Linked DNA regions of Tribolium castaneum. The protein of the gene in region 2 purifies or fractionates together with the protein of the main gene of each other region. This does not show direct contact. Links are inferred from orthologs where the notes say so. Each region holds a gene or a part of one and is shown on either strand. Other genes may lie near its edges. The genes, in order: Mat1 and mrn.

Evidence for each region.
Region 1: the proteins of mrn (region 2) and Mat1 purify together in Homo sapiens (co-immunoprecipitation; 3 studies listed by BioGRID and IntAct, with this or other methods). This does not show direct contact. The link is inferred for Tribolium castaneum from reciprocal best matches to the Homo sapiens genes GTF2H4 and MNAT1.

The regions. Positions count from the first base shown.
Region 1 is NC_087396.1:14,729,271-14,738,856, reverse strand, and holds Mat1 (CDK-activating kinase assembly factor MAT1), read right to left. Parts: upstream 5,075-9,586; 5' UTR 4,957-5,074; coding exon 4,009-4,956; 3' UTR 3,120-4,008; coding exon of another isoform or gene 2,898-3,119; 3' UTR 2,845-2,897; coding exon of another isoform or gene 2,657-2,844; 3' UTR 2,589-2,656; coding exon of another isoform or gene 2,501-2,588; 3' UTR 2,312-2,500; coding exon of another isoform or gene 2,207-2,311; 3' UTR 2,154-2,206; downstream 1-2,153. Other genes in the region: Ras64B (ras-like protein 2), read left to right, coding at 2,207-2,311, 2,501-2,588, 2,657-2,844, 2,898-3,119; uncharacterized protein LOC664490, read left to right, coding at 7,241-8,165, 8,212-8,313, 8,368-8,505, 8,563-8,806, 8,854-8,962.
Region 2 is NC_087396.1:20,769,602-20,779,058, forward strand, and holds mrn (general transcription factor IIH subunit 4), read right to left. Parts: upstream 4,875-9,457; 5' UTR 4,752-4,874; intron 4,726-4,751; exon of another isoform or gene 4,695-4,725; 5' UTR 4,675-4,694; coding exon 4,523-4,674; intron 4,478-4,522; coding exon 4,373-4,477; intron 4,324-4,372; coding exon 4,192-4,323; intron 4,140-4,191; coding exon 3,954-4,139; intron 3,906-3,953; coding exon 3,725-3,905; intron 3,668-3,724; coding exon 3,584-3,667; intron 3,492-3,583; coding exon 3,298-3,491; intron 3,247-3,297; coding exon 3,006-3,246; intron 2,962-3,005; coding exon 2,818-2,961; 3' UTR 2,791-2,817; downstream 1-2,790. Other genes in the region: ECSIT (evolutionarily conserved signaling intermediate in Toll pathway, mitochondrial), read left to right, coding at 69-1,184; G protein pathway suppressor 2, read right to left, coding at 1,211-1,599, 1,797-1,844, 1,905-2,131, 2,176-2,486. UniProt on the Homo sapiens protein: Component of the general transcription and DNA repair factor IIH (TFIIH) core complex, which is involved in general and transcription-coupled nucleotide excision repair (NER) of damaged DNA and, when complexed to CAK, in RNA transcription by RNA polymerase II.

The DNA.
Region 1 (9,586 bases), about 6.0 Mb from region 2:
GGGAGCCCCGTAGGGCTGCAGCACTCACGCAATGCACTCGCCGTGTTTACTTTAATTCGACAACAGTCACTCAGAGACCTCGCTTTTGGACTGCAAACGAAGGACGGTTTCTGGTTCTCAGCGCGCCTTTGACAACGGGAGGACCTGCGCAATGGGCACAAAAACAGGGGCGGACCAAGGAGGATATTCACCATACCAAGCGCCAGGCATGGGATAGAGGATTAAGGAACTGAAGGATCACACAAAAAGGCAAAAGGAATTTCCACAACTTAACAACTTCGCATAACCTTACTGTTAGTTTACTGTCAATTGGCAGAAGCTGCAATTGTGCCAACTTGAAGATGTCTTCTTTTTGTGAATTGTAACATAAAAAAACGCACAGCAAAGAATTTAAAAACTTGTAGTAATCAGATAACAAACAATTTTGTTAATAATAATAATATGAACATATCAACTAGCAAAAACCTTATTTTAAAAAATACATTTTAACAAATACAGTCGAACCTTTGTATCTCGAAATTTGGATATGTTGAAGAAATGATTGGCTGGGTCCTGTTTTAAACCAATGTAATTTTATGTCAAAAATCTTGAAGTCGAATTCCTTTTTAAATAAGTTGGATAGAAATTCGATTCCCTTTAGATGTAAACCTCCATGAGTCGAGCTGTTTTTTTGATCATTTGGGGAAACATGATACCGATAACAACATCTTCAGTCAAAGATACGTATAAGGTGTCTTAAAATTGGCAAATTCCAAAGCATTGTAGAGAACTTCTTTAGTATTCCAAATAAATATATTATAAAAAAAATAAAGATTCGTGGCTTCCCCACAAAGATACGTTGATTTGAAGTTTGAAGGTGCACTTCAAGTACATTGAATTGCGTTTTCTTCAAATGCAAACCAAAAATTTCAGTGTTTATTATTGTTTATGGTGTAGGTGATTGTAGAAAATAATAATGGCAAATAATTTCTCGAAAACCTAGCTTTATTTTGAAGTAAAAACATCTGTACTTTGTATTTTTTTAATGAAACGTTCACTTACAAAAATTTAAGATTTTTTTAAAATAAAGCTAATTTTTCGAGAAATTGTTTAACATTATTATTTTTCCACAATGACCCAGCTACACTATAAATGATAATAAACACCAAAATTTTGCATTTGAAGAAAACGCAATTCAAAAAGAATTCTGGAAACTAAAAACTGATTTCTGCAGCTAGTGAACAAATTCACACAAAATTCAAATCGGTGAAGTTTTTGAAAAAAAAATGTATCAAATAGTCATTTTTGTTGTAAACTTTAATAATTATTTTTGTTTATTTAAGAAATTCGGTACTTTTTGTGTACACTTTTTATAATAAGTTTCAAATAGTGCTATAAAAGCAGGAAAAGAGAGTGTAGATTAATTGTGCCAATAGTTATTAAAACATTATCTGTGTAAGTAATCTGTGGTTCTGGACTTTGTACAAATATTTTTATTGTAGTCGTATTCGTATTATAGTTATAATAAGATTAATAAGTTGAAATAATTTATGAAATGGAAAATAATCAGAACAACTTTAAATTAACTGCAACCACTTTAATTAATGGGTTCAACACAACAAAGTTTGAGATATAACATGAACTGTTTTTTTTTTTAATTTGGTTTGTGACTGTTATTTTCTGGCGAGTCCGTCCCTGAAAAGGGGGATGAACCAAGTACCTGATGGCCACATCTTGGAATGCGTCATCGCGGGGTGTTCGCTGGAACTGGCGGGAAACGAAGGTCAACGCATCTCCAGCTTCCACATTATGTAATTTTAATGCCCCATATTTACTTCTCGGAAAATGCTTTCCCACATCACCGGAAACACGCATTATTCATGAAACATGGTAATGGCATTTGCTAATTTGCATAAAAAACAACGAAGTCACCGACGGAAGGGTTGAAAATTAACACCGTGGGAGCATCACACACCCGCATCAATAAAATTTTCTTGCTAAATGCTCACATAGAGTGGTAAACAAGAAAAAGGATGATTTGTACTTGGCGCCGTCTAGTTGCCAACGTTGCGGCAGAATCGTGAATGTTACTAAATCTGTGACTAATTTTTTATTGGTAGGTTTAACTTCACGTTTAGTTGTTCTATATTTATTTTTTCCCTATTTTTAAATCAGTAGTTGAGTAAAGTCGTCGTAAATTAGTTTTAATTTGAAAAAGGAAATTAAAATGTCTAAGGTAACGGACAGGCCCAACAGTTATCAGACGTACAAATTGGTTATTGTGGGTGGAGGTGGTGTCGGAAAGTCCGCAATAACTTTGCAATTTATCCAGGTAATTATGCAAACACCGTCAATTTTGCATGTTTTCCGTTGTTGAAAAGGGCTGGTTTCATTAATCTAGCGTATGAAAATCGTCAGGTGTTATTGTCCCTAATTACATTTTCCTTTATATGGAGTGAAGTGTGTTTAACCTTGTAATTTATCCTACACTTTTGTGACAAGTTTCAAAACGAAATTCCAGAGCTACTTCGTTACCGACTACGACCCCACCATTGAGGACTCTTACACCAAACAATGTGTCATCGACGATATCCCCGCAAAACTAGACAGTAAGTAGCGCCCCAATGTTTACTCCCAAGCCCCAAAATAGCCCAAGGCTAACCCGCCAAAATTGCAGTTTTGGACACCGCCGGTCAGGAGGAATTCAGCGCCATGCGGGAACAATACATGAGATCGGGTGAAGGCTTCTTGCTCGTCTTTTCAGTAACAGAAAGGTCCAGCTTCGAGGAAGTGTACAAATTCCACAAACAGATCCTTAGAGTGAAGGACCGCGACGAGTTCCCCATGCTGATGGTGGGAAACAAGGTAATTCCTTGACCCTAATCTATTTTCCGTCCTTTGTAAACAGTTCCGTTTAGGTGGATCTGGAGCACCAGCGAGTCGTTTGGCAAGAGGAGGCGCAGCAGCTGGCCAGACAATTAAAAATCCCGTACATTGAATGCAGTGCCAAAATGAGGATGAATGTGGATAATGCCTTCTACGAACTGGTCCGCGTTGTGCGAAAATTCCAGTTATCGGAAAGACCGCCTCTAAAGACCGGCTACATGAAAAGGAACAAGAAAAAATGCTGCATGCTGTGAACGCGCACGCTAGACGCTTATTTTTATGTACACATCACTAAGGTTTTATGATATTTAAACGTAATTACGCTGTTAGGACATATCTGCACGGTCTTGTGTTCTTCTACAGATAAACAGGGGGACATTTGGCGTTTTCCCAGTGAAGTTTCCCAATCAAAATCCTTTTTACACTAATCAAAACTCCAGTGACCACACCCTTAGTGCGTATTGAATTTTCGTTGACCCCTTGTTTGTCTGATTTTAGCCGTCAAGCTCTATAAATATTGTATATAATATGTAGCTATAAAGAGAGGCAGACTTATATGAATATGACTCAAGCTTTTTTTGTATATAAGTTATTGTCTACCAAATAGAGAGTGAAAAACACCAATTTTATTTTTATATAAATTATATTTTTCTAGGCTACTAGTAGCTAGAATAGTTTTATGGATTCTTTGAGACAAATAAGATTGCCTGATTGTTCATTTAGAGATCTCGATAAAATTATTTCAACCGAAATAATTTTCAGTACATCACGTGAGATGATATTTACATTATGTAATTCCCATGAACACTGCCATTTGATGTTTTAATAGGCAGAATTGATTTAACAGAGTGTCAATTACATCTAATAAGCGAGTTACTAATGATATTTAGTTAGGCGGTAATAGACTTGACTCATATTTTTACACTAAACAAACGTTTGGTTTATTTCAAACTTACCAAAATAGCCCCCTTATTGATTGCTTAGTTTAACAGGTTTATCGCAAGTACAATTAGATGTAATCAACGGTGCTATTTATCGCGGGCACACTTTCTAGTTATAAATTTTAGATTTGTGTGTTCTATTTTAACAAAATAAATGTTTTAATGTACAAAAAATATCTTTATTCTCCAACACGTCAATAAATTAATGCACCGGCGCTTTCCTTACATGATACAGCCCCGAGAAGGCATCTTGCAGAGCCCTAACACACGCAATATTGGACCTGAAACCGCCAGCTCTCTCTTGCTCGTTTTCTGCCCGTACATGGTTCGTGTACCCCATACTGGCGATTTCTTCATCTGTTGGCAATTTGGGGCCATCGGTTTGCAAAACCAAAGGTTTATAAACAAATAAGGGGCCCTCTTCGATGGGAACAGGCAAAAATGAGCTTTGTGTCTGCCGCCCAATTTGAATCCCTGTTGAAAAGTGCGTCTTTTTGGCAGGCGCCGCCTTAGCCTCCTCCTCTTTGGCCTCCTTGGCTTGTTGGGCAAACGTTTCGACAATGTTTTTAGCATTTTCACTCGAAAACATCAACTCATCAATTAGCGCTTCCTTCTCCCGAATCTTCTTCTTCTTACTTTCAGTTTCCTCAATAATTATCTCCTGCTTACGCATCTCTTGCTGCTGTTTCTCCAACTCTAAGAGTTCCTCCAGCTCGTACTCTTCTCTCCCCAGTTTGCCTTTATTTTTCATTATTTGTTCGCGATTGTCGCGTTTGTATTGCTCAATCTTTTTGTTCGTGTTAACCACGTCGATGTTATTCGTCAGGTTGTAAATGATCGTCTCGACTTCCTCCAAATAATCGTTGAACTCAGCCAGCGAATTAAAATCCTCCTCTTTTTTGTTGAAATCGCGCAAGACGCGTTTGCGAATATCCACCTCTTTTTCAACTGAGGCATCCTCGAATAACTGGACGCGGAAGTTGTTGCGCCGGAGTGGAATGCGGCACTCGGGACAGCTCCCGGAGCCTTTGAGGAACAGCAAGTCCACGCAGCTTTCGCACAGCCCGTGGCCGCACACGTTTACCATCATTTTGAGTGATGGGTTTTGGAACTTTGAGGTCTTGCATCGCGGGCACGTAAAGTCCTCCATCGTGCAAGGAAAAGGGGGCAACTTTTTCGCACATCAACAGGAGCACATAACCTTACTTGCCGGCTGTCACACACATTGCTGTTACCACGTTATTTAATATTCGGAAGTAAAATTACCGTTGGGGGCGCCACTGAGCTAGGTCGAAAACAGTAACCATAAATGGCGGGAAAATGTTTATTCGGATATTTTGAGCGTTGTACGAATTTTGGGGCTTCACAATTATTACATTGCCTATGCGGAATGATTATTGCATCTTTGATGCAAGAAACTTATGTTGACAAATGTGAGATGACGAGGAAAACACGAATAACGAATGACTGTTTGGTTCACTTTCTTTATTGGAAAATTATTACAAAGACATTGAAAAGCCTACCTTTTGGCATAATTTACGTTTAAATGTATCAGCAGTTGTTAATCTTTATTGTAGTTTTGTAGATTTACCGCAGCATTTCATGATTTTTTCAGTGGAAAATTCTAACCTAAAATTCATAACACTTCACTAATTTATTGGTTTCTTGAGCCAAACTTTGTGTTCGCTGTGATCCATTACTTATAATCTTTAATTAAACAACTGCTTGATAACACTTTGTAATCAAAATTTAAATATTTTTCACTTTTTATCCACTTTCAAGTTCCAACAATAAACACTTTATACCACGAAAAACTACAGAACCAAAGTCAACGCTAGCATTTACCACCACGTACTTTTAAAGTAATTCTTTCTATTGTAAGTAATTAACACTATACACGCAAATTCATTAAATGTCAGTTAAATGTGGCATTACGAAAATTTCTTTACTGTTTTCGACATAGTTCAAAAGTCATCACCAGAGGGCGTGTAGTTAATTTTATTTCCGAATTGAAATTGCTTATAAGCAGAATTTGAGGCAAATAAGTATCAAAACAAATACAATAGCAAATACGAAGCCTAAGCAATGTTTTTCTTGATAAATTGAACCTTCAGCAGTTTTTATAATAGTTCAAATGCTCCGTGGCAGTAGATCAACCGTTTAAGCTGCGGGAAATGAGGCGCGAAAAATTGTAATTTGAAACCCAGTTTTAAATTATTACTATAAAAGCTTTATTTACACTGACTGTGCACACAAAAATAAAAACACTATAACAGTTTTTTTGAAACTGTAAGTTTTTATAATTATATAATAAAATTATATGATTTTATTAAAAAAATCTTTTTTTAATTTATTCTTCCCTCCTAAGGCTTAAGCACAGATTATATGGAGTTTACTCAAGTAAACAGACTTGTTGCAATATTTTGTGATGAATTAAAATGCTTATATCAAGTACAATAATTATTAAGAAGTTCTGCTTGAAAAAAAATATGATATTGAAGGTCAGAAAACAAAAACAAAAGCTATTTATATCTAATATTCCCTGGGAATAAATCAAATGAAATCATCTTTCGTAAAGTATTCTGCTTTTAACGTTCATGTGTACCAAAATTTTTAATTTACTAAAGACAAGAAATTGTGTCACTTAAATAAAAAAACACAAATTGAGAGTTTCTATATTAAACTAAATCCCAGCGACAAATTTTTTGAGCCAAGAAAACCCACCAAAAACTCTCAATTTGTGCTCCATTTCATTACAAAAAATGCAAATGAGTTGTTGCAAAACTCCACTATGAACTGAAATGGGACAATATGTAAGTTTTTTGATTTACGTTTCTAGACGATTGAACAAATAAGTAGGTACATAATTATACTATTCTTATTAACCTTTGATCTGTCTGATTGTTCACTTTGTTATTTTTTATCCCACAAAATGATGCAGATAATCACATGGCAAAGAATGCTACCGTAAACGGGCTTTGAAAATTTGTAACTATACTCACACACATGAGTTCAATAACCAAATTTGGTAGATTATTTAATTATAGATATTGTTATCTCCGTGTTTTTGTAAATTTCAATACAATGACGTGACATTGCTTATTAATATTTATTTATTCCGCAACCTTAACATTAAGCGCATCTTCATGAAAACAAGATCCGTCATGCTATCTCGCACTATCAAACGTAAAACGCCAGTAAAGTTCAAATGATCAAGATAATTAGCCACTTTAAATCCCCAACCGGAATGCAGCTTGATCATGTAACTTTTATTTCTTTTTTGCCGTTTCTCCTCCAACATCTTTAAATCACTGTAAGGCCACCGACTCGCCCCAAGAAACCTGTTCTCAGTGAGAATCCATCTATTCAGCTATGCTGCACGCGATTTACTATGAAACCAAAAACTGTCCTTAAGTGAAGTGTCTTTGACAAAAATGGCATCGACGGCGGAACTGGTCACCGCGTCCGTCGCGGACCTCCAGCCGAAGACCTTCCGGACGATGACCACCAAAGAGCGCCTCCACTACATCAAGAACATAATCACCGTGGAGCCCCTAATCGCGGCGTACCTCCTCGCTTCCATCATCTGCGGGCCCGCGCTGTACAACCTCGAGTTCGAGAAGGGCTGCCGGTCCAACCTGCAGCTCAATGACTCCATCTGCGACGCCATCCTCAGCGGAGAGGCCACAAATTACTCGGAGGAGAACGAGAAAATCCAGATTTTGATCGGGGACATGCACTCGTGGCAGATACCCCTCCAGAGCGTCATGCCCCTAATTTTGGTCCTGTTTTTGGGGTCGTACAGCGACAGGCACAAGCTGCGCAAGCCCTTTCTCTTGATTCCCGTCCTGGGGGAGTTTTTCGCCGTCGCGGGGTGCATCCTGTGTGTTGTTTTCATGAAAGAGTGGCCGCTGGCGTCACAAGGGATCGCTCAGACGGTCATCCCGTCTTTCTTCGGGGGCCAGACGATGATTGTCATGGCTGTTTTTGCCTACATTGCTGATGTCAGCACTGTGGAGATGCGGACTTTAAGGGTCGGGGTTGTGCAAATCGTTTTGAACGTTTGCACTCCTGTGGGACAGGCTGTTAGTGGGATTTTGTTTGAGAAAATCGGCTATTATGGAGTTTTGTCGATTGCCGTTGTTTGTTATTTATTCGCGATTTTGTACGGGATTTTTTGGATTAAAGAACCGCATCAGCCCGATGTTATTTCAAAGAAATCGTTTTTTGTCGATGCTTTTGACCCCAAACATGCGGTGGAAACTTTCAATCTTCTATTCAAAAAGAGCAAAGGGAATAATCGAGCGTTCGTGGTCGCCGTTTTGTTCATTTTGTTCATTTACAGTATAGTGGTTACAGGTTGGTAACAGTGTTTGGTTTTCCTCGGATTTAAACCTGGTTGTAGGTGAAGGAGGAGTTTTTTATTTGTACGTTCAAGGATTTTTTAACTGGGGTCCTCTTGAATACAGTTACTTTATTACTATTAATACCGTTATTCATTTAGTGGGTGAGTACCAAAGTACCAAATGAGATACACGAATTAGAGTTAATTTTATTAAAGGGACATTAATTGGGGTTCCCCTATTTACCAAATTTCTCTCACTGGGGGATTTGATGATTTTACTCATCACATTTGTGGATAAAATTGTAACAAATATTGTTTTCGGTTTGGCCAAAACTGATGTCATGTTATATGTTGGTAACTCTTTAGATTTAATTTTTAAATTGTACGTAATTATTGTGACTTGTCTTTTAGCCACTGCTGTAAGCATAATTACCGGAATTTCTAACATTGCTATAAGATCATTGGCTACGAAAGTGGTTTCACAAGAGGATTTAGGAAAAGCTCAGTCTTTATTTGGAATTTGTGAAGCCATAGGTCCAGCAATTGCCGCTCCGCTGTACAATAAAGCAATTTATTTAAACAGTTTAGATACTTTACCTTCGGCTTATTTTTATTTTGGAGCAATTTTACATGTTTTGTTGTTGGTGGTGATAATGTAAGTGAGTAAAAAAATATAAATTATTATTACGATGGAAATTTTAGATGGATGTATTATGCAAGTAAGTCGGAAGAAAAAGGTGACATCGAAAAAGAACAGCCAAACAATGCAAATGAAAAAGTCTCAGAGGAATTCCAGATGACCCATATTTAGCAGAAACTTGCAATTTGTAAATAATAATGAAAGAGAAACTATTTCATTTTATATATTTTTTATGATGTATTTAAAATAAAAAATAAAGTTCCCAGTTTTTAAAAAAGAAATTAAATTTAGAAATGCGTCAAGTGAACATTTTTCTAAATACTTGTAATTTATTAGATAAAGACAAAAGAATATAACTAAAATAAAAAATGAGCTCTTCTATAAAGAATTTATTTATCATTTCTAATTTATTTATAAACGAAACAATGTGCAATTTTTTATAAATATGATTCGTGCGGTAATTACTAATTATACGCAGATTGAAAAATGATAAATATTATTTTTAACCTTTGATCTCTCGGTTTATTGAGTTTGTTTATTTCTCATTTGTGCGAGTCTGTAAAAAAAGAACCAAACAGTGAGAATGAAGTCGTCTCAGGGAGTTCCGAATGACTCATTTATATTGTAGTCAAAAAATTGTAATTTGTAAATAAGTGTAATTATATTTAAGTGATAATAAAGATTTAAATTTTCCATATGTTAAGGTTTGGAACCTTCACTTAATAACACCTTCAAATTAATGATTCCGTTTTTTATGAACATTAATGGTTAATGAGATATGTAGTTTTATTAGTA
Region 2 (9,457 bases):
CGAAGTCTCGAATTTTATCAAACCGGTGGCAAGTATGCCAATTTTAACGATTAAATAAACGAGTTAAAATGTTCGTGACCAGGCTTGTGCCCCTGATGCGGGGCAACTTGCGCATTGTCCCAAAAGTGGGCCCCCTTGCGCGAACATTTAGCGATTCGTCCGAGCCCAAGCAACTGGTGACCTACCGCTCGTTTGAAGAAATCGAAACAAAGAACAAGAACACATACTTGGACATGATCCACATTTTCGTCAACCGAGACAGTGTCCACCGGCGGGGCCACGTTGAATTTATCTACTCTGCGCTAAAAAACATGGAAAGTTTTGGGGTCCACAAGGACCTTGAAGTGTACAAAGCCCTAATAGACGTCCTGCCGAAAGGCAAATTCATTCCGAGGAACATGTTTCAAGTCGAGTTCATGCACTACCCCAAGCAGCAGCAGTGCATTATCGACTTACTCGAACAAATGGAAGACAACGCTGTGATGCCCGACTACGACATGGAGGAGCTTTTGAAAAATATTTTCGGAAATCGGGGATTCCCCTTGCGCAAATATTGGCGGATGATGTACTGGATGCCCAAATTTAAAAACGCGTCGCCTTGGCCCATCCCGAACCCGCTCCCTGACGGCGTGTACGAGCTGGCAAAGTGCGCAATTGAGCGGATCAGCAGTGTGGACATCCAGACACAAGTTACGACGTATCAGAGTAAAGACATCGAGGATTGTGTGGACGATACGTGGATTATTAGCGCGCAAGCCCCCATCCAGAAGGACCTGTTGAAGAGACACGACGTGACGGAGCCTTTGTACGTCGAGGGGCCCTTTCGCGTCTGGCTGAAGCACCAACAAGTGACTTACTTCACCTTGCGCAAAAACGCCAAATTCGTAGCTCCAATCAAAGAGGATCTAGATGATGTCAGTGACATTAAAATCCCCTTTTTCAACATCAAGCCACCCGTGAAAAATCTGACAGTGGTACCAAGTGTCCATGAGCAAGAAGATGGTACTATTCTGGCACTATGTGCTACTGGGACCTCCAGTAAAGACTCACTAGTTTCGTGGATTCGGCATTTGGAAAAGGATAATCCGGTGTTGGCCGAAGTTCCGGTAGTTTTTACGCTTCGGAGCGGAACTAAAGAAATTGTCACAGTTGGCGATGATAGGAAACAAATTGAAAATAAATGAATTAGTTAGTTATTAATTTTTATTTCTTATTCTCTTGGAGGATAATTCATTGGAGTCCCTGGCGATTGATACAACGGCCGACTTTGAGCCGTATAAAGTGACGCGGGGGCTGATTGTTGGTATTGTTGTTGGCTCCTGACGGGGTACCCCGCTGTGATGCTCCCAGTCTTGGGCTGCGCGGGGCTCAAGGGTATGGAGCCCCCATGAATGACGTGTCCGTGCGAACTCGGTACTCTTAGAGTGTAATGTTCGGGTAATTTCTGCTCCAAGTGGTACGTTTGGGGCCGTGGGGGCTCGTAGGCGCTCCTAGAGGGTGGGGGCTCCCGCGACGAGATGGACCCCAAAGGATAATACATCGAAATATCCTGCGGAGAGACCGAATAAAACGTTGCTTGCTGACTCGGATATTGCGTCTCTGAAATTATCGACGAAATTACAACACTGAAAAGTGATAATTAAATGGAAAAAGCATGAATGGGTGGTGATAAATGAAGCCACAACTTTCTCGACTAATGAAGGAAGCTTCCCTTCACCCAGAAAAAATTAAGTGGTGCCTGAGTGAAAAGAACCTCTTCATTATGAATGAAGCTAAAGTGGTGTAGAAACACTCACTGTTCCATAAAACTGCCCTCACTAACTCATTACGTCTACCATCATCTTCTGCAAACAAAATCGGTTAAAACCTAGCTAGAACATTACCACGAAACAGTGAATAATTACTTTGGGGCGAGTTCTGGTAGGAAGAGACCGCCACTGAGGGCTTGTAGCCATAGCCTTGGTGGTAGGACGACACGGGGGCCGGCTGCGGGCTAGGGCTCCGCGGGCGTTTGACCGCAGTTTTAAACGTTTGTTGCTGGGGCACAGCATTGCGGGGCACACTGGGCGAGATGTACAACGGCTGGTGGTGCACCAGACCCGTCGGGAGGGCTTGAATCGCCAGCACGTCACTAAAAAGTGGTCTTTAAACAATGCAATACTAAAAATGACCCACTTGTTCTCCTTCTGTCGCCTCCTATTATCATCCTCGTTGAGGACTTTTTTCAACTGTAAAAACAACTGGTGTTTCTCCTCTTTCAGTTTCTGGAGCTTGCTCTCAAGCTGTGAGATCTGTTCGCGGGTTTCACCCAAAGTCATGACGTCTTGTTGCTCGCGAGCTTCGCGTTCTTTACGGAGACGTTCCTCTTCCACTTCGGCCTCCCGTTCTTGCTTTTTGCGAGCGCGCTCACGCAGAATGTGCGCTTTGAGCACCTTCCACATCTGCTCGGACCGATCCGGCTTGCTGTTGTCCACAGCGGCAGGCATTTTGCACAAATTACGAATTATTTCGTATTGTTATTTTACAGGAACTGTCAATGTCAACATGACGTTTGACACTTGTCGGCAGGATTGCCAACAATTTATTGGCCAGATTTTAACCAAAATTGGGCGAAAACTCAAATTTTTGACCCGCTTCCACATGTTTTTTTTAGTTTAAGCACTTGGGCCGAAACTCCCAACATTTTGATACGAATTTGTAGCGAAAAACGCCCGTTTCGCGTGAAAACAGAATTGGTTTAGATTGGCGATACTGTTTCATCCGCGAGGGAATTTTAAATGAAACACGATCAGTGGTAAAGTTTTTATTAAATCTAAATTAATTTCCTTTCGAATATCGCTTCCAGAACTTTTTAACATCATCATGTGCCGATTTATTGATGATTAGAGTCCGTTTTTCTTTGTTACACCAAATTAGATGGCCATTAGACTGTGCATACTCTTTCAGTATATTAAAATCAGCCTAAAACACAAATTAAAACCGCGTAACAATTTTTCTTGTAATACCTGTGATAGGAATTGGCTGTATAAAACGCCCTCTGAATACGTTAATCTGTTCCGCTCAATTTCCCACAGTTTGATTTGATCCACAACTGTCGGAGGTAGAGGATGTTTGGCCTCACCTTCCAACATTTGAGGATGTGCATGTTGTTTGAGGTACCCGATAATTTGATCGGCTGTGATTCCCCCTTTCAAAGCCTGTCTTATGGAATCACGTGTTATTACGCCCACTACAAGGTTCGGAAACCTGGGAAAAGTCCGATAGTCATAACATTTTTTTATTTATTTTGTGACCCACCTATACATCAGTTCTGTGAAAAGACCAATTAAAGCAACTTGAAGATTAGAATCCGTGTAAGCATAAACCCTGTAGTTTGTCTCTACAATTATGTAACCTTTTGGAGTGTCTTCCTCCAAAATTCGAGTTTCGGGGCCTTGGCTACACGTAATATTTAAGGCCAATCTGGTCGGGTAAAAACGGCCTGCTTTGCGCTACAAAATTAATTACATTAATCATGGGTGCTGTGGAATGTGACGTCCAGAAAAAAAAATTTGGTAACCATGGTAACGAAAACAAGACCTACTTTTCTTTGATACACTAATCCGAATTCTCTCAAGTGTTGGAGAAAAATTAAAAGGCCGGGACTCATGCCTTCAGTGCTATAATCCTACAAAAAAATGTTGCTATTAAAAAAAAACGCCAAGTGTTATGAGTTATGACATACTTTTCCAAGTGTACTAAATGAGAGTTGGAATAAAAACGTTAAACATTCAACCAGACTTAATCCTCTTTGCTCAACTGTGTCGAGATATTGGAGTAAAAAATGCCAAACTTGTGCTTGCCTATCTAAGAGTAAAAACTGGAAGCCTTGACGTGTTATAACAGGACTGCCATCTTCCTCGTCTCTACATAAATATAAATAAGATAACGAGTCAATTTTGGAGAAATTCAACCTTTTCATAAGCCCAGCGTGTAGTAAAATTCTGACAGCATCCGCAGAAATTCCCTCTTGTTGTTGCGACCCCACCATGTAATGTAACACACATTCCCACCGTTCGAGCGAATAAGCGTCCAAAAAAGACACATCTCTTGCCTTACTGTCAACTTCTAAAGCCGAAGACATGCTCCAAGGTTTGCCCCTTGGGATAAATCACGCAGTCATTGCAATAATCACACTAATTACACTCTCACCCCCCTAATAAGGCAATTTTCAAATTCTTTTTAAACGTAACTGAAAGGATCCAACCTAGGAGCCCCCCTGGAATCGCAGCCTCCTGCCATACCGACAATTCGCTCAAAACCTTACTCACATAAACGTGCTCTCTACAAATAACCCCCCTTTTCGTGTGTACAAGCGCATTTAAACACTCACTTGGAAAAGGCCTGAGCCCCCCATGACGCCACAACTGCCTGGGGCACCGGCTGTTCAACGAACAAAATTCGAATCACGTACTGGCGTGCCAGTTCTGGCAATTCTCTAAAATCGTCAATCGAAATTTGGAATTTTAAAGTGGGTTTTTACCGGTAAACGGCCAAACAAATCGTTGGATGGTTGTAGAGTTTTTCCAACGTTGCCGAAGAGCGCGTTTTTAAGTAGTCGTACAAGTTTTTACATTCTAAGTTTGTTGGTTTCAAAAAAAGCGAGCTGGGTTGCGCGGGCTCGGCGTCTGCCATTTAAACAGCCCCCTTGCAAACTTAAAATTAGGGTTAGGGTAACTACTGTCAACGCAATTGTCAGATTTAAAGCTAACCCAACTTTTCCTCCGAAGGAGTTGTTATTTAATTAACCACTCGCTTCGTCTTAATAAGTGTAGAAAAAACTTGGTTTTCGCTCTGCTTCGAAATGCCAAGTTTTTGGGCATAAAATATTTTGGCTATGTTTTTTTAATTATTCAAACGTTGGGGAATTTGGGTGGCAGGGTTGGTCAAAAATATTACGGTGACGATAGCACTTTGGAAAGAGCTAGCACCATGAAATTTCCAGCGGACCAGTCAAATCACGGATGTGCGTTTTCAGCACTTTGCGACGTTGCTACGTTTCTCACAAATTATAAGAAAATAAATTATTTACTCATTTTCTTTTAAAATTCAAGTGTATTGTTATTAAAAAAAATAAAGTAAATGCAATTTCAAACTTGTTGTATCTTTGAAAGCAATGGGGGATGTAGATAGTTTACTAGTTGACACAAAAAGGTGAAACCGCCTAATAAAGGCAAAACAAAAACGAGGAGGGCATGCTACCCAATTATTTAGGGGGCAGATTCCACCTAAATAAGATAATTATTCGTTAATTTCTTCTTCAAAAACATTATTTGAAAAAAAAAGTTAATAGAACGACATACTAATTCAAACAGAGGGTTAGATGTCTTCCCAAACTTTTAGAGGATTGAAATTTTCAAGAAAGGTAGGTATTTAATGGGCTTTCATGTGGAATGGGTTAAATGCGTCGACAAAAAGAAATAGTACTAGAAAAAAATATTTAATATTATTAATAAAATGTTGACATATTTCAAACTAAGGGTTGGATGTCTTCCCAAACTTTTAGAGGGTTGAAATTTTCAGGAAAGGTAGAGTATTTAATGGGCTTTCATGTGGAATGGGTTAAATGCGTCGACAAAAAGAAATAGTACTAAAAAAAATATTTAATATTATTAATAAAATGTTGACATATTTCAAACTAAGGGTTAGATGTCTTCTTAAACTTTTAGAGGGTTGAAATTTTCAGGAAAGGTAGAGTATTTAATGGGCTTTCATGTGGAATGGGTTAAATGCGTCGACAAAAAGAAATAGTACTAGAAAAAAATATTTAATATTATTAATAAAATGTTGACATATTTCAAACTAAGGGTTGGATGTCTTCCCAAACTTTTAGAGGGATGAAATTTTCAGGAAAGGTAGAGTATTTAATGGGCTTTCATGTGGAATGGGTTAAATGCGTCGACAAAAAGAAATAGTACTAGAAAAAAATATTTAATATTATTAATAAAATGTTGACATATTTCAAACTAAGGGTTGGATGTCTTCCCAAACTTTTAGAGGGATGAAATTTTAAGGAAAGGTAGAGTATTTAATGGGCTTTCATGTGGAATGGGTTAAATGCGTCGACAAAAAGAAATAGTACTAAAAAAATATTTAATATTATTAATAAAATGTTGACATATTTCAAACTAAGGGTTGGATGTCTTCCCAAACTTTTAGAGGGATGAAATTTTCAGGAAAGGTAGAGTATTTAATGGGCTTTCATGTGGAATGGGTTAAATGCGTCGACAAAAATGGAAAGTTAATTTTGTAAGACATAAAAAAGCCAGTTGAAGCCAGTTTTGCACTTTTATGTCAATCAAATTACAATTCGTCCGAAATTCTGTATTTGTAATTATTATTTTTTATAATAATTATAATGCTTATCTCTTTCTTGGCAGCGACCTTGTGATAAGTATCTGGGTAATAATAATAAAATCACAATTCGTGCATTTTGATAAATTATAAATTTTTGAAGAACTGCTTTTCTCGTAGGTACCTTAAAACGAAAATTAGTTTATTGAAGTCGTGTTAATGAGCCGATTTTTACGAGATAAAAAGGTAAAAAGGGTATACCGATTATTTGGAAAACATTTTATTGGTCTACTTAGAATCATCCCGGCTTCCCGGCTACGCGGTATTTTCTTAGAATTTAGAGTAATCGTCTGCTACCTTATCTCTGTCTGCTATAACGAGTTATACCGATTCTCGATTCATCTGAATTTGCAGTTATTGCATGGCTTTGGTGATAGCAGGTGTATTTTGCTGAGCTTTTGCGCGAATTAATTTTGTAAGAACCTTTTTGCTTTTCGGAATCTTTTCTTTTGTTTTTAGTTTATTGGTTTTGTTTTCAGCATTTATAGTCGTTAGTTTTAGAATTTTTAGATTTTTTAGTTTTTGAATTTTTGGGTTTTTTTAGTTTTAGAATTTTTAGTTTTTAGTTTTTTATTATTATTTTTGTTGTCTACTTTAAAAAATGCCCAAGAATTTTGATTTCAAGGAATTAGCCGATTTTATCAAAAGTTTGGCTCCTAATACATCACTTACATACATCGCAAATCTACCTTTAAGTGATCGGATTATTCATGAATCTTCTATTTACATGTTCCGCCTTTCTAAACCTAGCAAACGAAGGTTAAACGATTGTAAAAATCGTATTAAGAAAATTTTGTCGCGGAACGAAGGAAACATAAAACAGTTTTTCCATAAAAAAATCGTCGAATCCAAAATCATTTCTAATAGTCCCGTTTTTTTTGATAATCATTACACTACTGAAAAAAATGATTTTTCAATTAACTCACCAGAATCCACCAATCAGTTTTCTTCTTTCGATAATTACAATGATTTCCATATTACCGATTTTTCAGTGAATGACGTTCCAAATTCAATAAAAAATTTATATAACCAACCTAATAAATCAAAATTTACTCTTTTGCCAGAAAATTCACAAAATGATATATCAATAAAACGTTTAAAACCAATGTCTTTTAAAAATTGTAATATTAAAGAAGGCACTTTTTCACTAAGTTATGAACAATTTAATGACATTAAATTTAATAATTCTTTAATTAACTATCAAATTACTGTGAGGAAGAAATTTGCAACAGTTAATAATATTTGTCCTCTTAATTTTAAAAAACACCAATCAGACAAGAAAGGAAAAAAATTTACAATTTATGCATATTGTGCACATGAAAATTGTAAAGTGTTTATCATTAAATTGTCGCCAGAAAAACATGATATTATTGGAACCGTTTTTAGTAATACACTAAATTATCGGCACGATAACCAAAAAAGGACAACTTTTGTGAGAAATTTTGAAAGACAGCTATTAGGAAATAAATTGCAGACATCGACTCCATTCATGACACGAGTTCGGGATACAAATTTTGTTCCCTCGGATCAAATTCGCGCAGGAAATTATGATAATATAAAATCCAAACATGTGTACAAAAAAATCAAGTCACAGACTCTTTCTAAATTAGATAGAGATACAGACGAATTTTTCGATCTTATAAAAATGTCGAGAGAAAACCGCCAGTATATTTATCGCGTTTTTGAGCCCCTAACAGTGTATTTATTTAGTATTGAACAGTTAGAAGTTATTAAACATGCACTGTCTCAAACAAATAATGGGTTTATAGTTTTACATTTAGATGCAACCGGAAGTGTCGTCCATTCTCCCCCTGAGACGAAAAAACGTGTTTATTATTACGCTGGAGTGGTACACATCAAAGATAAAGAACTTGTTTGTCCTGTTTTCGAAATGATAACTTCCGAACATGATGGTTATTCTATTGGTTCATGGTTACAGGCTTTTGAATCATTTATTGTTAAAAGTAAACAGCTAAAATGGCCCATTTTTTCTTATGTGGTTACCGATTTTAGTTTCGCTTTTATTAACGCCATCACCACACAGTGGAATAAAATGGATGATATTAGTGTATACTTAAATATTGTATACGATTATATAACATCAGAAACGACTGTTCGACCAAAAATCACTTTAAAATTATGTTGCGCTCATTTTATGAAATTAATAACAAATGACATTAACAAGATTTGCGGTAGCAATAAAACTCAAAAAAAATTTTTCAAACATTCTATAGCAGCTGTTTTTATGAAAACATCTTTACCTGAAGTGGAGAAGTGGTTCAAAAAGATGGTTTTAATTACTTCAAAAGAATTTTTAGATCTCGATGGGAAATTAAGCAATGTAATAAGCAAAATGTTTGATACATTAAATAATAGTAAAGATCTAGAAGACATAGATGAGGAAACTGAAACCGAAACTGAGGACACCGAAATTCCCCATACACTTTATCAAAAAAGCAAGTTTTATAGACATTTTTTCAAAATATGTGAACAAGATAAGAAAATGATTAATAGTGCAATAGATTCAGATAATATCAATATATTCTACAATCCTCTGATTTTAGATCTCATTTTAAAAAAATATTTACCAATTTTACCTCTTTGGTCAAATATTTATCCAAATTTACGTGATCGTGATAGTATTGGAAGATTTAGCAATGCGCCTGTGGAAAATTGGTTTTGTCAGGTGAAAAATAATATTTTGAAGCCAACTGGACTAAGACTTCGAAGTACTAGATTTATTCGAGTAGTTCGAGAAGTTGTCTTGAGTAAATCAAAAGAATGTGCACTTAATATAGATAAAAATCAATGTGCTATCATAAAGAAAAAGCGGATACAAACAAAAAATATTGATTTAGGATTAGAATCAGAAGAAAACTGGAACAAAAAAATTAAATCCGAAAAGAAAAAGTCATATTTTGAAAAACCAATTAACGAAATTCATCCTTCCCGTTCAAAATTCAATTCCAAAGTAAAAGAAATTAAAAACGTAGATTTTTATAATAACAATTTAATTCGAGATGACAGGTATTATACATTGGGAAACTCAGGCGTCAATTACGTT